Drosophila melanogaster: one gene and its partners. Changing the gene in region 4 together with the main gene of any one other region gives a genetic interaction. Each region holds a gene or a part of one and is shown on either strand. Other genes may lie near its edges. The genes, in order: Fas2, Nrg, ftz and eve.

Evidence for each region.
Region 1: of eve (region 4) and Fas2, changing one enhances a phenotype caused by changing the other (phenotypic enhancement), as found in Drosophila melanogaster (one study listed by BioGRID).
Region 2: of eve (region 4) and Nrg, changing one enhances a phenotype caused by changing the other (phenotypic enhancement), as found in Drosophila melanogaster (one study listed by BioGRID).
Region 3: of eve (region 4) and ftz, changing one suppresses a phenotype caused by changing the other (phenotypic suppression), as found in Drosophila melanogaster (one study listed by BioGRID).

What each region holds. Positions count from the first base shown.
Region 1 is NC_004354.4:4,203,092-4,207,837, reverse strand, and holds the start of Fas2 (fasciclin 2), read left to right. Parts: upstream 1-1,744; 5' UTR 1,745-1,938; intron 1,939-4,351; 5' UTR 4,352-4,577; coding exon 4,578-4,647; intron 4,648-4,746.
Region 2 is NC_004354.4:8,515,746-8,520,511, forward strand, and holds the start of Nrg (neuroglian), read left to right. Parts: upstream 1-1,742; 5' UTR 1,743-1,764; exon of another isoform or gene 1,765-2,653; intron 2,654-4,766. Other genes in the region: CG33181 (uncharacterized protein), read left to right, coding at 1-181. UniProt on the Drosophila melanogaster protein: Essential for septate junctions. Septate junctions, which are the equivalent of vertebrate tight junctions, are characterized by regular arrays of transverse structures that span the intermembrane space and form a physical barrier to diffusion.
Region 3 is NT_033777.3:6,862,330-6,866,803, reverse strand, and holds ftz (fushi tarazu), read right to left. Parts: upstream 2,481-4,474; 5' UTR 2,411-2,480; coding exon 1,663-2,410; intron 1,516-1,662; coding exon 1,031-1,515; 3' UTR 560-1,030; downstream 1-559. UniProt on the Drosophila melanogaster protein: May play a role in determining neuronal identity, may be directly involved in specifying identity of individual neurons. Required during embryogenesis for the process of body segmentation.
Region 4 is NT_033778.4:9,977,313-9,981,349, forward strand, and holds eve (even skipped), read left to right. Parts: upstream 1-2,006; 5' UTR 2,007-2,102; coding exon 2,103-2,241; exon of another isoform or gene 2,242-2,272; intron 2,273-2,312; coding exon 2,313-3,304; 3' UTR 3,305-3,483; downstream 3,484-4,037. UniProt on the Drosophila melanogaster protein: May play a role in determining neuronal identity. May be directly involved in specifying identity of individual neurons.

The DNA of each region.
Region 1 (4,746 bases), on a different chromosome or scaffold from region 4:
ATAATTGTTAAATAATTGCAGTTCTCGGCGGGAAATGGGCATATTTCCTTTGTTTTTACATCAGATTACTGGTGCCAAGACCAAAGATTCTTAAAATAATTACTTATTTATTTATATTTATGTTCTAATTTCTTTATATTACATTCTTGCTTTTTAAATCGCCAATACATTTAAATGCAATCGTGTTAAATCCTATTTGTTGATAGCCAAAATGTTCACATCGTTGGCACATCATGGGTCAAAGGTCGAACGCATTAGCAAATTAAGCGTGAAGAACGATTGTCACCATAGTTCCCACAGCCAGCCGATCAATTCAATATTCATCTGTGAAAAGTTCGGAAAATTCGGCCGGCTGTGAAATAAAATTAACGCACTCCAAATCGGGCGAATCGGGCGTATCGGGTTTTTGTTTTGTGTGTGGGAGATAGAGGAAGATTCCGAGCAATAAATAAAGCGCAGCGAAAGTGCGACATCAACGACAAAATAACAATCCTATAAATCACTTATTGGTGATTCTGGCGGGGGAGGGGTGTCGCTGGTATATAGATATATGTAGGTACATATATCCCCTCTGTATACGGTGATAAATTGCTCCGTCACACAAACGACAAACGAAACAAAACAACAATGATAACTGCAGAATACATCGCATTGGCATCTATACGCAATTTCATTTAGTAAATTGCACACAGCGCATTCAAACGTAACTGCGATTTTTTTTTTTGTTTCCACTTAACCGGGGAAAATCACCCCCCTCGTCACGATTTTTCCGCAGGCTGGTTTAATTGACAGCGCGGCAATTGAAAATAAAAGAAGTTTTTGTTTGGAATCGAATCTCGATGTTGCGCGGGCAACAAGTGGCCGTCTCCGAAATATCCGAAATGTTGCCAGCCGGAAAATTCGTCTTGCATACCCGCCCGATTTTCCCCCCAGCATTCGTCGGTTACTTCGACAGCAAGATCGTAAAATGCTGTGCCGAAAAATAAGACGTTAAACTTTGGTTTTCCTCATTTCGAAATGTTGCAAGAGGTTTCGGCAACATGCTGCTAACTTCGAAGGATGTTTAGATAGTGTTCCCGAATATTCTTACAAAACTTATCGAAGTGTGAGATTTTCATCTTGCATATCAATCGGAAAAACCTTAGCTAGACATCATCTCCTCGCGATAGCACACTTTGCGTAATATATGTACATACGTGTAGCTCTTTTAAATGTGCCCCCGAATAAAGTAGTTACATTTTTAATGCTTCGTTCTGAAAGTTTGTTGACAAAGCTCCACAAAGATTGGGCAACAAAAACGTGTCAAAAAACCTGACACCAGTCGCTCGTAAAAGTGACGAAATGGGGCTTAAGTGCCACCGCCCAGTTTCTCCGCCCATTGTCGTTTGACCTTGCTGACACTCGAGAAGAAAAGAGCTGAATTCTTCGCCGCCTAACGGTAGACACTCTCCATCTCTTTTAGTCTCCACTGAAAACATATTTGGCCAATAACTGATATTAATATTCCTGTGCACTTATTACGTTATTTATGTAAATTAATTTCATTTTAAAAGAGCTCAGATTTTCGGTTTTATAAATTGCTATTATCTATGCACTTTACTTCTTAAACTTCTACCATCTCCCTTGCTTGATTACTTTCGGTTGGCAACATGCTGCGTCGCATCGGCTGGCAACATTTGGGGTTGCCAGATCTTGTGGCGCGGCAATAGCTGTGGTATTTTGCGGCGGCAGCGCTAGCGGTGCTTTCAGTTACGTTTCGACGGCCAACGCGTCGAGTGCTCTGCTTGCTGAGAGAAAGAAAAACACAAATAGAGACAACAGAAGTGGTTCTTCTTCTTCATACTCGCATTCTCTCGCGCTCTCTTCACCGTATGTGTTAACGGTCGTGGCGCGTCGTGTGCGTGTGTGTTAGTGTGCCAGTTAAACAATGAGAAATTGGTAATAATAAATAATAATAATAACTGCTCATAACAGCCATTATTTGGCCGTGCATGAGAAGAACTCAAAAAACATGTCGAGACAGCTCCACAAAAACCAAAAATAAACTGGCGGCATTCTTGTACATATTTTTTTTTTCAAAACTTTTTTTTTAGCGTGTGACAAAAAATACACAAATGTATCTCTCTCGCTCTGCTGAGTCTATGCTGTTTTGTTGTTTTAGCCCAAGATTCCAATGAGTCACGTGCAAAAGTTATTTCAATGAAAACCTCCATGAAAACCCTTTGAAAACTCACCCAATAATCGAGTTGGAAAAGTGCATACAACAAATATGAAAAAAAAGAGCAACATCACCTGAAAAGCAAGAAAAATAAAACGGAAAACAGGTTTTTGGGCCCGCTTCGCTGCCAACTTTATTGTTGTTACTACCAACAGTGTGCACTGGAAATTGACTCACGCTTGCAGCTGGCAAATAGGAAATATGAAACATACAAAAAAGAAACACGTTAAGAATTAGGAAAAGCCGGGCAAATTGATTCCACAACTAATCTGGAATGTTAACCACAGAACAAAAAAAAAAAAAAATAGAAAAGAATAGATTCTCAAATTTCACGACCAATTTCAGTCGGTTTCGTTTTTCCTTTGTCTGTCAAAATTGCCTTTATGTCGCATATCAAAAAGTTTATTTCGTTTGCTGCGGCTTTCTGCAAAAGTTTTAATGTGATTAAAAATATTTGTTTAAACTGTTAACAAGTCGGAATAAACTCAAAGTTGGTAAATTAACTTCATCGACTTCATAGAGTGCTTATTTGAAAACTTTTGCCGCTTTACTTTTGGCAGTTTTTCGAACAAGATGTTAGTTTCGCATTAATAAATTAGTTTATTGCGTTTTATCAAACCTAACCGAGCCATATTTTAATTAAGACTACAAAATCCTATTGAGTTCGTCCAATTCTAGGCAATCAAAACGGCAGATGTAATTACAATTTGTCGGTCGCGCCGAAAGTCAAAATCAAATCATTTGACAGCATTAATAATTCACGAATATCAAGTGGAAAACTTCTAAACTTTGTGCAACTTGAACAGATTCACAAAAACTCTACCGTTGCCAGAACTTCCCCTCTGGCCAAGTCTCTCATTATAATTAGCGTTTTCGAAACTTTATGAATATTTAAAACTGCTTCGCGGGTATTTTGTAACAATGTCTCAATTTGCCAAAAGCAAGAATGAAGCGAGATGAAAGCGAAATATTCTCAAGAATATTTCGCGTGCCGCAGACACACATACGCGCGGTTCCTATGAAAAAAAAAGTCAAGGCCTGCCCTAAATATCGATTATCCAGTAACTGTAATAACCGTAAGCCAAATGAGGGGGTGCGGTGGGAAAGTTCCGCTGTGCAAAGTGGGCGGGATTAGTGGCAAGACGAGCTCGCGAGGAAGTAACTACAGTTTTCCCTCGCCTGCATGCAAATATTTTTTGTTGCTAGGACTGTTATGAGTTTTCAAAAAAAAAAAAAAAAGAGCACTGCTTGCAAGGCGTCACTGTAAATGAAAATTAACTTTTATTGATCACTTATTCTACCTTTATTATTAGTCATTGCATTGAAGTCACGTTCAATTCTATAACTCAACCGTTTTTTATTTGGTTTACGATATTCTCTAAAGCGAGCGATAACTGTACTTTAGAACTTGTTGCAATTCAAGGACACTCAGCATAGGTGCAACTTCAGTAGACATAGAGAGAGAGAGAAGGCGAAAGAGAGCGAGAGAGACAAAGCTTGAGTCATGAATTATTGGAGAGACGCACGAACTTATGTGCCGATAAGAAATATACATTTCGCTCTCGAACCCAAAAGATAACGATCTACTGAGAACACAAACTTATAGATAAAATTCAGCTTAAGCAATCCTCTCCTACCTTATCCAAAGCCCCCCTTCCCTCCCTTACCCCTTGTGTCTGTGTTGCTCCTACCATATTTCCCCTGCACTACGTGTTTCGACTGCCGAGAGCACCGTAATTTCCGTTACAAAAACTGGCCAACATGTGCGAAGTCGGCGGCGCAGCAAGTTTTATTTTCTTCGTTTTCCTTTCTCATTTTTTTTCTTCTTCGCTGCCGCCGCCGATTTTAGAGAATGCAAAAGAGACAAGGCACACACGCACACAACATCGGCTCGCGCTGTCTCGCTTGCACTGCCTTCTTCCTCTTCTCCTCGCCCATAAATGCCAACATTTGCCATTTGAAGCTAAAATGCTAAAGTTATGACAAATATCAAATGCAGATGAACTTCTAAGGCCCAATCTGACTAACCACAAAAGCCAGTTACCATGAATTTAAACTAAAAAAAAACCCTATCTATATTACTATTAAAAGCTTAGCTAATTCATCTTTCTTTCATTATCAATATACTTTCAGATTCACACACCGAAACAGACAAAAGAAAAAAAAACAAAAGACACCGAACGCAAAGTGTTAATCAGAATAGAATAATTTGTGCAATCACGAGCAGCGAAAACAAACTGAAATTTTTTAAACATTTTTTTCGTGTGCAACCGTAAACAAACCAAAGAAGTTAAAACGAGAGCTATTTGCGAGCGGGGAAAACTAGAAAACTACTACAACTGCAAAAACAGCGATAAAAATGGGTGAATTGCCGCCAAATTCAGTCGGCGTCTTTTTGGCGCTGCTCCTCTGCAGCTGCTCTTTAATAGGTGAGTACGGGTATAAAAACGCTCCCCGAATTCCCAATATGTGCTTTTCAATTTGGTATTATAATTAGAAATAGAACCCAAACGCACGAATTGTGCTAA
Region 2 (4,766 bases), on a different chromosome or scaffold from region 4:
CCACATCATTGTGCACGCGATGTGGAAGTGGAAGATCGATCCGGATAACTCGGCCATACCCTACCTGACGGCCTTGGGCGATCTGCTCGGCAGCAGTCTGCTGGCGGTGGCGTGGCTCTTCACCATGTCGGTGGGCATGCAGTACGGATCCGGAATGGAGACACTAAACGCACCTAACTAATGTAGCTAACGAAATAGGGAGTACGGAGTAACGTAGAACGATAAACAAGGCAGCCACACATACACACACACCATACAATATAAAGAACTGTTATGTACCTAAAACAAATATACAGAAAACATAGAAATTGTACGTATAGCCAGCCTCCTCCAGCCACCCAAAAATCTTAAATCCAAGACAAAAAAAAAAAACCTCCCAACACCAAACGGAAACGGAAACGGAAACCGCTATAAAACGAACTAACTTTTAATGATGCATGTCGAATGCTCGAGGCGAGAGATATTAAGAGATATGATATCATTTTACATTGTGTCCTTCTTCACATGGCTTTTGCTTGTGTTCCTTTTGCTCTACCGAGAAATTATGTGCGATTATGGTATATATACAGGCTATATATAGGCATATGTAGAATTGCAGGCCGCTGCGTCATATTTTTTAAGGCTTTTAGGACAATATTATACACATTTAAAGAAAAGTATATACATTGTATAGGGAGAAAAAGACGACGAAGAATTACTAAAAGAACATTTACGCCACGCAAATTGTTTTCTCCCACTTTGGTTCTTGATTCTTTCGCTCTTGATTACCTTAAACAGCCAAATAATAATTGCAAAACGTAGACGTAAATAGAGCCTACTTAAATCCTTAATTTACACTTAACCAATTATGTAGTATTAGCGCAGATTTGATTTTTGCAAGTCTCGCTTTCGATTTTGTTTTTTTTTTTAATATTACTTTTCTCATTGTCCCCTTCCATCCCCCTTTCCATTTCCCCCCCGCAGAGCGCGAGCGATAAAAAGAAATAGGAGAAGCAATAATTAAACCGCGAATTGCGATATATATGATTGCAAATTAGTTAGGACGATGGAAAGGAAGTGTGTATGCAGGAGTTTGTGCGTTCTGCTCCGCATCAAAAAGTGAACAGGGATTAAAATGATGAGAATGAGAGACGTTCTGAAAGGAAATGTGATCGATATTTAGTTATAACAATAATAATAATAATAATAATAAATTAATTGAAAACGTAAGAGAAAAGGCATCAATATTGTGTAATACTTGAAACAATAATACCAATTAAATAAATATGTTGGAATAAACGAAAGAAATCCAAATAGTTTCAATATCTTTATAATTAATTATGTTTCTGTTTAGCGTTGCTCAGAATTGTAATTAAAACGTAAAACCATTTGAATTTGAATATTTTGGCGCCCAGTTCATCAATCGATATATCATTCATGTTATGGGTAGCATTGAACACACTATCGATAAGAGTCTCTAAAGAGTTACAAATATCGATAAGAGCGTAGGTTATTTAAAAGTATATCGCATCCCTGGTAATCAATCGATAGTTGGTATATCTTAGATAAATATCGATAACCGTAAACCAGTTTGTCGGTGATGCCACCCCGCATTCCGTGCGTCCGATTGTTACCGTTCGCGAGGCTGGCAGTTCCTCTCCGCATTCGAAAAGAAAATATCCGCGCTGCTGGTTGTGTATGTCCGCCAAATCGTATTTACTGAAAACTACGCCGAAAACACCGCGATACATATTCGCAGCCGAGCGAATATATATCGTTATTTGGGTGTTTAAGCACTAACTTTATTTATTTTTTCCTAAAAATTCCGCGTGTATAACATAACTGTCCCAGTGTGTGTGTATATGCGTCGGTGTTAGTGTTAGTGAGCGCCGGGAATTGAAAATAAAATAGTAAAAAAAAGAGGAAAAAAAACGAACTGACGCCGCGTAGAAAATTGTCTTATTTACTCCGCCAATATATAAATTGGTTTTAGCTCTGCCTTCGCTTTTTTTTTTTAGTGTGCGTTCGTGTGTGTGAGTGTGCGGGTGTGCTTGTCTGGGAATTGTTTTAAAAAAATAAGAAAAATTGGTTGCCAAACGAAAGGAAGAAAAAAAAACCCAAAACAAAATTGTTTGTCTCCTTGCGTTACTTCCACCTTCATTTTTTGTTGTTTTTTTACTTTGCACACTGTGCCGCACCCAAAAAGTTAAATAGTTGATGGTTTTCATTAATGCAATTGATTAAAAATGAATGGCAATGCAATATTGTACGAAGCACACGATGACAACAAAAAAGGAGAAGGAGAGCAAATCGGAGGACGCCAAAAGCCACGCAAAGGCAACAACAACAGCAACAATGGGCGCCATTAACTGTACAAGAGCGCTCAAAACCTCAACATTTAAAGCTCTGTGTTTTTTTTATTTTTCCTATTTTTTTGTTGTATTCTAGTTGTTTTTGTATGTACATATGTATTTACCACGAAGCCAAAACTTCGTAAGCGAGTTATTGAGTGGCTCCTTCTCACTCGCTCCGTCTCTCACGCTTTGGCGCGTCGCCCTCTCCCGCCTTCCTCTCTCTCTCTTACCTGAGTTTTGAGTTTTGGATTCTTGAGCGCTTTTTGGCAGAATCCCGTCATCTAGTTGTTGTTGCTGCTGCTGGCTTCTATGACTTAAAGGTAAGCATTATGGATTTGAACCAAGTTTTCGTCCAAGGGCGTAATCTTAACTCCACACACACTGTTTTTTTCTTTTCATTTTTATTGGTGGCTCTAAAACAGGTTTTCTAGCAGCTAGCGAAGATGGTGACGAAGAAGAAGAGCGCAGACAATGAGCGCGAATTACGGCATGTGTGTGTGCGTGTGTCGGTGTTCTTGTTTTGGTGTGTGTGTGTGTGTGTGTGTGTAAGGTGGGGCAGCTTCAAGAGATCACTTTTTGAGCTCTTTTTACGTTTTTTGCCCTCTCCCTCGTTCGTCGCCACTTTGGCGCTCTTCTCGCATTTTCACATGTACTTTCCACGTTCCTAGCGATTTCTCTCTAAATTCTTTCGATTTCATACCTCAAGTACAGAGATAACGGGTTTTCCATTTACAATTTAGAAGATACAAAAAACAAACAATCTTTTAGCGTTTTCAGTTTTATTTTCGTCTAAGCCATTTAATTCATTTACTTTAAAATTCTTTAAATTTAGCAATATCTGAAACAACTGATTTTCAATTTTTTTCAATGATTCTCAATTGCAAACTGAATTGAGTTTAGTTAGGTAAATATATACATTTTGTACTTCTCTCCGCTATTTTTTGTGGTTTTTGCTTTTGACCATGCGGTCATCGCGACGACGTCATCGTTGTGAATAGGTTTATATATATGTATGTACATATATGCATATGTATATGGCAGTTCGTTCCGCCCCAGCAACGCCGTCGACAGCAATGCCTCCGCCCCGAATCGACCCAAAAACGTATCAAGAAAAATAATAATAAATAAATAAAGAAATAACAGAAACTGAAACTGCGTCAACTGAAGCAGCATTAAAAATTAGCTAGTTAATAAATGCCCTTGTTGGCCTTTTGGTGTGGGGATGTCCGGCTAAAGATACAAGATACAATAAGTGATGAAGATATTACTTCACATGCTTACAACATATTAAAAGTATTTAAATAAAAAATATTTGCTAAAATTGTACGAGTTTTTGATAACAAGTTTTATCAACCGGCGACCACAACAGCAAAAAAAAAAAAAAAAAAAAATTTAAGTGCAAATTTCAAAAGTTAATTCAAGAATAAATGTTTAAGCAAACGAAACCAAATCCAAAGTCACTTTGCTGATATGTAATCGCAGCTATTTTTTTTATTTCAAGCACAGTGTGATGATAATTTTCGGCCATTCTTGACTTTGAAAAAATCAAGGCCAAGGTGATCGGAGAATATTTCCATGTTGCATGTGAAAGACTATTACTATTATTTATAAATTCAAGTCCCCTTTCAATGAGGCTAACCTCCAGTAACTGGGATCGTTTTCAATGAGAGCGATAAGAAAAGAACTTGAAACGAAACATTGAAGCTTTATCGATAGAGAAACATCCCCTATAATTTATGCCATTAACAATTGGAAAAGTCAAGCATAATTAAAGCAGTTCATTAATTGAGTAGGTACTGAAATGGACACTCACACTCGAGGCCATTTGAATAGGTACAAAGCATCTACTATTTACTGTTTTTTTTTTGGTCATGCTTCGCCTATTTGCTATTTGGTGATTTTTCGCATATAAATTTTCAATTTGTCAACAATAAATCATACGCAGATCACTGATTACTCTCTTACATATATTTATATGTTCTTGGATTTACTTGGTTACTTGGGAGCTTTTTCCTATATCTTGGATTCCTAAACCTCAAATATATTCCATATTGCCACTTACATACATGTGTATGATCTTGGGTGATTTTCCTCGTAATTGAATTGTTCTTGAACGCCAGAGGCGAACTTTTCGTTTATCAATTCTCCTGGGGCTTTTGTAATTTGTGTGTTATCTACTTTTGAGTCGATCAATTCTTGATTCACACTTGAGGCACTATATTGGTTTTGTCACTTCTGTTGGCTGCTGAATGTACATACATACATACATAATATGATATCATCGATATCTATCTGCGAACTCTCGCGCAATTTATGAGAGATTTATGTTGATATTTTCATATTTTTTTTGGGCGTGCAATTGCCTGGCATTTGTTATAATTAAAATGGAACGCCCCAAAAAGTTGGGGGAGCTGGTAGGAATCAGCAGGCATA
Region 3 (4,474 bases), on a different chromosome or scaffold from region 4:
TAATAGAAAATCCGGGAGATAGCAATGGGTCAGGGATGAGGGGGACTGAAGCGACAAAATGCAGCTGCTCGAATTTGTACGATTCGTGCTCAACATTAAATCGTTTGCGTTTCGTATAAGTTCGAAAGTAATGCTTCAACCATGTGCAATTCATCAGAAAGTAAACCAAGAGATCTCTTAAGCTTCTCAACGAACAATTAAATATTAGGCTTATACTTAAATAATTTAAACTCCTTAACTCCTAAACTCCATTTTTATCATATATATGTATTATATGCATATATAAGGTATGAAAATAGGCTGAAGGTAAACTTTGCCTTGTGATATGTTTTCGGTGAAAGTAGTTAGACAAATACCATACGTTGATCCAAACTATTTTAAGAATTTATTGAGTAGTTATCATTGAAAGGCATTTAATTTTATTTCAACACATATACATATGAAATGTATTCCACATACGCGGCCCACGGCCTATAAATTTAAAATTTTAAAGCAGTCAAATTGCAGCATGCCCAAGACTCTTCTTCACAAATTGCCAAATGAATGTTCAACTTGATTTGTTTAAATTCGATCGATTTACTTTACTCGTATATTTAAATAAATAGAATTCTATGATAGGAATATCTTAACTACTATATGTACAAAAACATGTGTGTCAGTCTCCAAGTCTCTTGGCCATTATCACTCCCAGCTGAGTGTTTTGGGCTTGTGTTTGGCCGCAGCTAATCGATCGCTGAGAACCCATCATGGCCAGCCACTGGGTTCCGCGCGCAGCAAGGCTCCTTTTCTGTTTGCGCTGCCTCTTTTGCCTCTGCCTTCTGCACTTGCGCACTCGTCCTTGTGCCCAAAATGTCCTGGGCACCGTAGGGAGTGCGCCCTCTACTGTGCAACTCATCGCGTCGCAGCTTCGTTCTCGGCTGTGTCATTTGCGTGTCACCTACAAATGGTCGAGAGAAGTGCGCTTCGGTTTCGTGGCGGTACGGCTTTCGGTTCCGCTCTGGGGAAGAGAGTAACTGAGCATCGCCGGACCTCAAGACAGATGGTAGAGGTCCTGTGGATGTTGCTGGTAGCTGCACTGATGTTGGTACTGCTGCGGGTAGGCATCGTACTGCTGGTGGGTCTGCTGCTGAGGGTAATCATTGAGCAGGCCATAACCATGACTGTGACTGTGGCTGTAAGCGGGGTAGGCGGCGGTGGTTTGGTGGTGGTGGTACATGGGCACTGGCACCGATGGTGCCCCGGTGGTGGCGGTGCTTGTGGCCTCCAGTGGCGGCAGCATCGCGGTGTAGCCGGCACCACAGTGCTCCGGGGAGCTGTCCAGCGTGCGATCCTTCTTCGACTTCATGCGTCGGTTTTGGAACCAGATCTTGATCTGCCTTTCGCTCAGGCTCAGGGCATTGGCGATATCGATGCGACGACGCCGGGTGATGTATCTATTGAAGTGGAACTCCTTCTCGAGCTCCAGGGTCTGGTAGCGGGTGTACGTCTGACGGGTGCGTTTCGAGTCTTTGCAATCTGTAAGCATAAGCAAAGAAAAAATGGGTTAGCTAATGAGTTTTATAACTGCGTATTGTTTGAAAATATCAAAAATGTATACAAAAACATATTTTCAATATTTTCAAAGTGTATTTTTAGGGGTTGTTAATCGTGTGTGATGCCTACCTGATGCCAAAGTCTCCTCGATGTGCGACCAATTGAAATCGCCGGCTCCATTCGGGGCTGTCACAATTCGATGATTGATCTCCTGGCTGACAGCTGACGAGGATTTCTCCCCCGGCGATTGGGGTGGCGTGCTGATGCCTTCGAGGGGCGGCAGAGAGGTGGGCGTGGTTGGCGGAGGGGTGGCAAAGTCGCCATTCTTCAGCTTCTGCGTCTGCGACTGGGGCGAGTAGACGTCCAAGTAGTCGACATCCTCGGAGGCGCTGGGCGTGGGCACAGTCACGTACTCTTGGTCGTAGCTGGGAGCGGGGCTGGCGGTGACCTTGGTGCTTACGGCGGGAGCCTTCTTCACCTGCTCGACGGTTGTGTAGAAATAGTCGGGGGTGTACTTCAGCTTCTTCACGGGATTGGTGAGCAGAGCCCTCAGTGTGCTGGGTCGCTCCTCCACGGCGGCGATGATGGAAGCAGCATCATCTTCGGCCTTGCGCTTGGTGGCCTTGGGCGGCGGGGTGGTGGGTTGCACGGGCGGTACAGTCTGGGTGGTCACCTGCTCCTGATTGTTGTAGTAGTAGCAGCTCTCCGAGTAACTCTCCTGGGGATAGTAGCCCTGATAATTGGAGGTGTTCTGATAGTAGGCATTGCTGCCTGAATTATCGTAGTAGGTGGGCGGCAGGCTGTGGGGGTGATACATGTTGTACATGTTCATGTTGTCGGCGTAGCTGTAGTGGCTCTGGCTGTTTGTGGTGGCCATATCGGATGTGTATTGCTAGATTTCTTCTCTAACTCTGCGATGTGCACGCAACGCTGGTGAGTTTGCGAATGAGCTGGTCCTGCGGCAGATCCTGCATATATAGCAAAATCAGAGAGCCCTCGGCACACGCTCGCCGTTATAGCGCATAAATATCCCTGCGCATGACACTTTGCCGCCTGCTGTTCGCAGCCACCCCTCCGGCGAAATGTCCTTGCAGGCACGGAGAGGGGAAGTTATCCGAGGTCCTGGCAACTTTATCCGTACGGTGCCTACCTGCTGCGCGGCTTATTACCTACCCATCGCGCCCATTATCATCGCGATTTATCCGCCCGCGCGCTTCTCCTACTCGGCGACCTTGAGACGGTGCTGCAGTAATTACGGCCATGAGGTGCCTACCTATGAGGTGCGCAGAGCGAGAGGGCGCGACTCTCAGCCGATCTCCCTCTAATTGCAATAATCATAAAGACATAAAAACTGTAAACTGTTGCTGAAAACGTTCCTTCGGGGCAGAGGCTTTTTCCCCGGCCCGTTTATGGTTCCCTAAAAATTTCTCTGGATTTTTGCCAGCGCGCAAAACACCGAAGACTGGCTGCCAGTTGTTCCCGGAACCCGATGCCCTTTCCCTCCGAATTTATTTCGTGGCACTGGGCGGCCAAAGGATAACATTACGTCCGATCCCTGGGATCAGGAATACGCGTGGCCGAGGGTCGCGTGTTTGCGCTTTTTGTTTGCCCTCGTGGCCAAGCAAGTGCGCAACTCCCGATTCCCAAACTCACTCCTGTGCCCGGTATTTGCCTAAAAACCAACAAACGCACTTCCAAAATGACTAGTAAACAGTAAAAACTTTATGCAAACATCCTTTGCCTAAATTTTAAAAATATGATATAAATTATATGCCCGCTGATTTTTCAAATGAATACTAGTTTTATTTTATTTTTTACGTTATACTTTTAAAAATGATTCTATAACAGCAGAAAACCAGCAATATTTTAATAGCATAATATTGTTGAGAATATAAAGCTTTTACGCTTTTTTTCGGTAACTCTGTGATATAACCCTCAAGTTTTTATAAATTTTAAGTAGGTTGTCTATGGATGCTGTAATTTTTAATGGCCAAATGGTAATGTATCCTTTGTGAGTGGTAATCTTGAGTTAAATTTGTGGCACAAAACTTGCACAGCGTAGGATCTTCATGTTTAATTATAACATTATAGCTCTTATACTTATACTTATATGGATCAAGAATATATATACTTTGTAGCACTGCAATTGCTGCCTTCTACCTGTTACATTCATTTCAGTAAGGGGTAAGAATGCCACAGGCTTCACGATTTACTATTTCTCATTCTTTTAGAAACTGAAGGTTATTTCTGGTAATCTAAAAATCTACTTCCATCTTAGGTTCGCGTATAACCTGAAATCAGCTCAGCTAAATTGACTGGTAAAAAACAATCATCTCTCAGCCACTTTTGTGTTTACATGACTTTCTGATCGGCTTACGCGGCCTGGATAAATTTTATTAGCCACCCCCGTTGAACACCCCTAACATATCGATACTCCTGACATATGTGTGCATGTGCGAATTCTACCCTTACCCCATCCGCATACTCTGGCAGATTCCATTGTTCCACAAAATTTATGGCGTTTTTCAGTTTGACAGAAGAGACTGCAGTTCGCATCTCTCCGATGTCCTGTGATTGCTATATTGCCAGTGAATGTGAGCCTCCTTTCTGGTTTTGCAGTAAACTTAACAATAAGGGTGTAGAGTAGGATATAAAACCATCCGATAACTTATGTTTATATCTATCAATCAAAGAAAGGAAAAACAGCTCCCCAAAAATAAAATTCTTTCGATACCGAATCATTTACTAAAATAATTTCATCTCATTTTATTTAAATATTGTTAGGATCCTTTTTTAACGCAATAAATAAGGGCGAGGGCTACTACTTTTGACTAGGTCTTTGAATTTAGATATATACTTATTGAATTATACCTTAAAAAGATTAATTAGTTGAATTATTTTACATGAACATGGCCTAAGATTTTAAACTAACTTGTCTAGC
Region 4 (4,037 bases):
GGTACTTCCGCCGGCGGACACTTTCGCCTAACCAAGCCAATCCAACCCATCCCAATCCAATCCAACCCACCCGATCGCCATAAAGGGTATTTACTGTCGCTGCCGCAGAGCCTCGCTTGACGACTTAACCCAAGCGGTCGTTTCGCGTCCATTCTCCGGACGGAGTCAAAGACAAAGGCCGGCGGAGGTGGACAATAGGCAAGGTTGTTGCTTGTGGGTAGGGTTTGAGCTATGAGCTATGAGCTGTGAGCTGTTAGCCCTGAACCCCGAACCTCGAGAATTGAACCTTTCCCGGGGCAAGAAGGCTTGCATGTGGGCCTTTTCCAGGTCGGCCAGTAGGTAGAGTTGTTGCGATGCGGCTATGCCGGGCGAGTTAATGCCAATGCAAATTGCGGGCGCAATATAACCCAATAATTTGAAGTAACTGGCAGGAGCGAGGTATCCTTCCTGGTTACCCGGTACTGCATAACAATGGAACCCGAACCGTAACTGGGACAGATCGAAAAGCTGGCCTGGTTTCTCGCTGTGTGTGCCGTGTTAATCCGTTTGCCATCAGCGAGATTATTAGTCAATTGCAGTTGCAGCGTTTCGCTTTCGTCCTCGTTTCACTTTCGAGTTAGACTTTATTGCAGCATCTTGAACAATCGTCGCAGTTTGGTAACACGCTGTGCCATACTTTCATTTAGACGGAATCGAGGGACCCTGGACTATAATCGCACAACGAGACCGGGTTGCGAAGTCAGGGCATTCCGCCGATCTAGCCATCGCCATCTTCTGCGGGCGTTTGTTTGTTTGTTTGCTGGGATTAGCCAAGGGCTTGACTTGGAATCCAATCCCGATCCCTAGCCCGATCCCAATCCCAATCCCAATCCCTTGTCCTTTTCATTAGAAAGTCATAAAAACACATAATAATGATGTCGAAGGGATTAGGGGCGCGCAGGTCCAGGCAACGCAATTAACGGACTAGCGAACTGGGTTATTTTTTTGCGCCGACTTAGCCCTGATCCGCGAGCTTAACCCGTTTTGAGCCGGGCAGCAGGTAGTTGTGGGTGGACCCCACGATTTTTTTGGCCAAACCTCCAAGCTAACTTGCGCAAGTGGCAAGTGGCCGGTTTGCTGGCCCAAAAGAGGAGGCACTATCCCGGTCCTGGTACAGTTGGTACGCTGGGAATGATTATATCATCATAATAAATGTTTTGCCCAACGAAACCGAAAACTTTTCAAATTAAGTCCCGGCAACTGGGTTCCCATTTTCCATTTTCCATGTTCTGCGGGCAGGGGCGGCCATTATCTCGCTACAGCAGTTCCCAAATGGTTATGGCTGGACACCCCTGCCGCCGCTCCAACGGGGTGGATGAAGCCCCCAAAACCCGAAAGTCATGGCAGCCATGGCAGTGTGGGGCTGTTAAACGTGCGGCATAATATTAAGACTTCATAAAAGCGCAAATAATTCGCTGGCAGGCGATCGATAATACATACATACAAATATATAGTGGGATACACACACTCTCTGCCGGCAAACACACACCACCCGACCCGACTGAGCGGCATAATGCCATATCATTCTTGATGAAGCCGATAAAATCCCATTATTAAGGGGGCCCGCCCGTCCCGCTCGCTCCTGCGGAGCAACCGCCTGCGGGCGGGCGAGACAAAAGATTCGCTCATCCGCTATGAATACCAAATCGGAACTCTCTCTCTCTCCAGCTCGGGAGTGCCATGGCCAGCATGGCCAGGACCTCCTCATGGTCCTGCCGAGCAGAGAACGCGGCTCCATCCCGCTGCTCCGGGTCCTGCTCCTCCGCTTTGTCCCGCCTCGTTATCGCCGCTCAGCACCGAGAGCACAGCAGCGCATCCACTCTCAGCACCGCACGATTAGCACCGTTCCGCTCAGGCTGTCCCGCTCGCACCTGCCTGGGTCGCTGCGATTGGCCGCTCCCAGCGACGGCGGCCATTTGCCTGCAGAGCGCAGCGGTATAAAAGGGCGCGGGGTGGCTGAGAGCAGCACACTCGAGCTGTGACCGCCGCACAGTCAACAACTAACTGCCTTCGTTAATATCCTCTGAATAAGCCAACTTTGAATCACAAGACGCATACCAAACATGCACGGATACCGAACCTACAACATGGAGAGCCACCATGCCCATCACGACGCCAGTCCCGTGGACCAGAAGCCCCTGGTTGTGGACCTCTTGGCCACCCAGTACGGCAAGCCCCAGACACCGCCTCCCTCGCCAAATGGTAAGTTTAAAGATAAAGCCGAGCAAACGTGACGAGTTACTTACACCCAATCTTTCCTCTGTCCAAAACAGAATGCCTATCCAGTCCGGATAACTCCTTGAACGGCAGCCGCGGCTCGGAGATTCCCGCCGACCCGTCGGTACGCCGCTATCGCACCGCCTTCACCCGTGACCAGCTGGGTCGCTTGGAGAAGGAGTTCTACAAGGAGAACTACGTGTCCCGTCCCCGTCGCTGCGAACTGGCCGCCCAGCTGAACCTCCCGGAGAGCACGATCAAGGTGTGGTTCCAGAACCGCCGCATGAAGGACAAGCGTCAGAGGATCGCCGTCGCCTGGCCCTACGCAGCCGTCTACTCCGATCCCGCCTTCGCCGCCTCCATCCTCCAGGCCGCCGCCAACAGCGTGGGCATGCCCTATCCGCCCTACGCCCCCGCTGCTGCCGCCGCTGCTGCCGCCGCCGCTGCCGTGGCCACCAATCCGATGATGGCCACCGGAATGCCCCCGATGGGCATGCCCCAGATGCCCACAATGCAGATGCCCGGACACTCGGGACATGCCGGCCATCCATCGCCCTACGGACAGTACCGCTACACGCCCTACCACATCCCCGCCCGCCCGGCGCCGCCACATCCCGCTGGTCCTCATATGCATCATCCGCACATGATGGGATCCAGCGCAACGGGATCGTCGTACTCCGCCGGTGCCGCCGGCCTTTTGGGCGCTCTGCCCTCCGCCACCTGCTATACCGGACTGGGTGTGGGTGTGCCCAAGACCCAGACGCCGCCGCTGGATCTGCAGTCGTCGTCATCGCCGCACTCCTCCACGCTGTCGCTCTCGCCAGTGGGATCCGATCACGCCAAGGTGTTCGACCGCAGTCCAGTGGCTCAATCCGCTCCATCAGTTCCTGCTCCCGCTCCACTGACCACCACCAGCCCGCTGCCCGCTCCAGGCCTCCTGATGCCCAGTGCCAAGCGGCCTGCCTCCGACATGTCGCCGCCGCCGACGACAACTGTGATTGCGGAGCCCAAGCCGAAGCTCTTCAAGCCCTACAAGACTGAGGCGTAAGCCCGCGATCCACACACACTCTCTCCCCCCCCCCCATGCTCCCCCAAAAGATTGTACAAACTAGTCTTAGTCAGCCTCATCTATTTATTCCCGAAGATTGTACAGATTGTAGAGTAGCTAATTGTAGTCATAATTAAGGCGCAAAATCAAATTAAGAAATAAATGCGAAAATAACATTGAAAATTATACGACACACACTGTTTATTTGAACTACCTGGTACCTGGTATTATCTACATATATATCAACATATATTCATATACCTGAGCTGAATCGCTTTTATGGACCTGGCTCTCTGGATTAGCTGTGGAGAAACCTGGCGGGACAGCTGCGCTGCTGACTGCTGACCTTCCCAGGGAAACTGTGGCAAATCGAACGGAAGAGCGGCAGAGCGGCAGAGCCGCAGAGCGTGCCGAGTGTCCTTCGGAGTGGCCACCCACAATCAGGAGTAAGGGTTCCCGATGCGGCACCGGCGGGGAAGGGAACAACATCCACGGGGGATTGGCACAAGCCAATGGCTTATTAATGCGATCCGAACGGATCCAAGCGGGAGGGCCCATTGCAAATGCAGAGCCACCCCGCTGGGCGGCGACCTTGGCGAGGAGTTGGGCCCACTCCCTGCCACGCGTCAGGTTGCATTGCCAATGGAATCAATTTCGGTGTCCTCGGATTGCATTGGGCTCGGCTAATTAATTGTCACCTCACCCGTTGAGTGACTTTTTTGTTTGTTGGTCC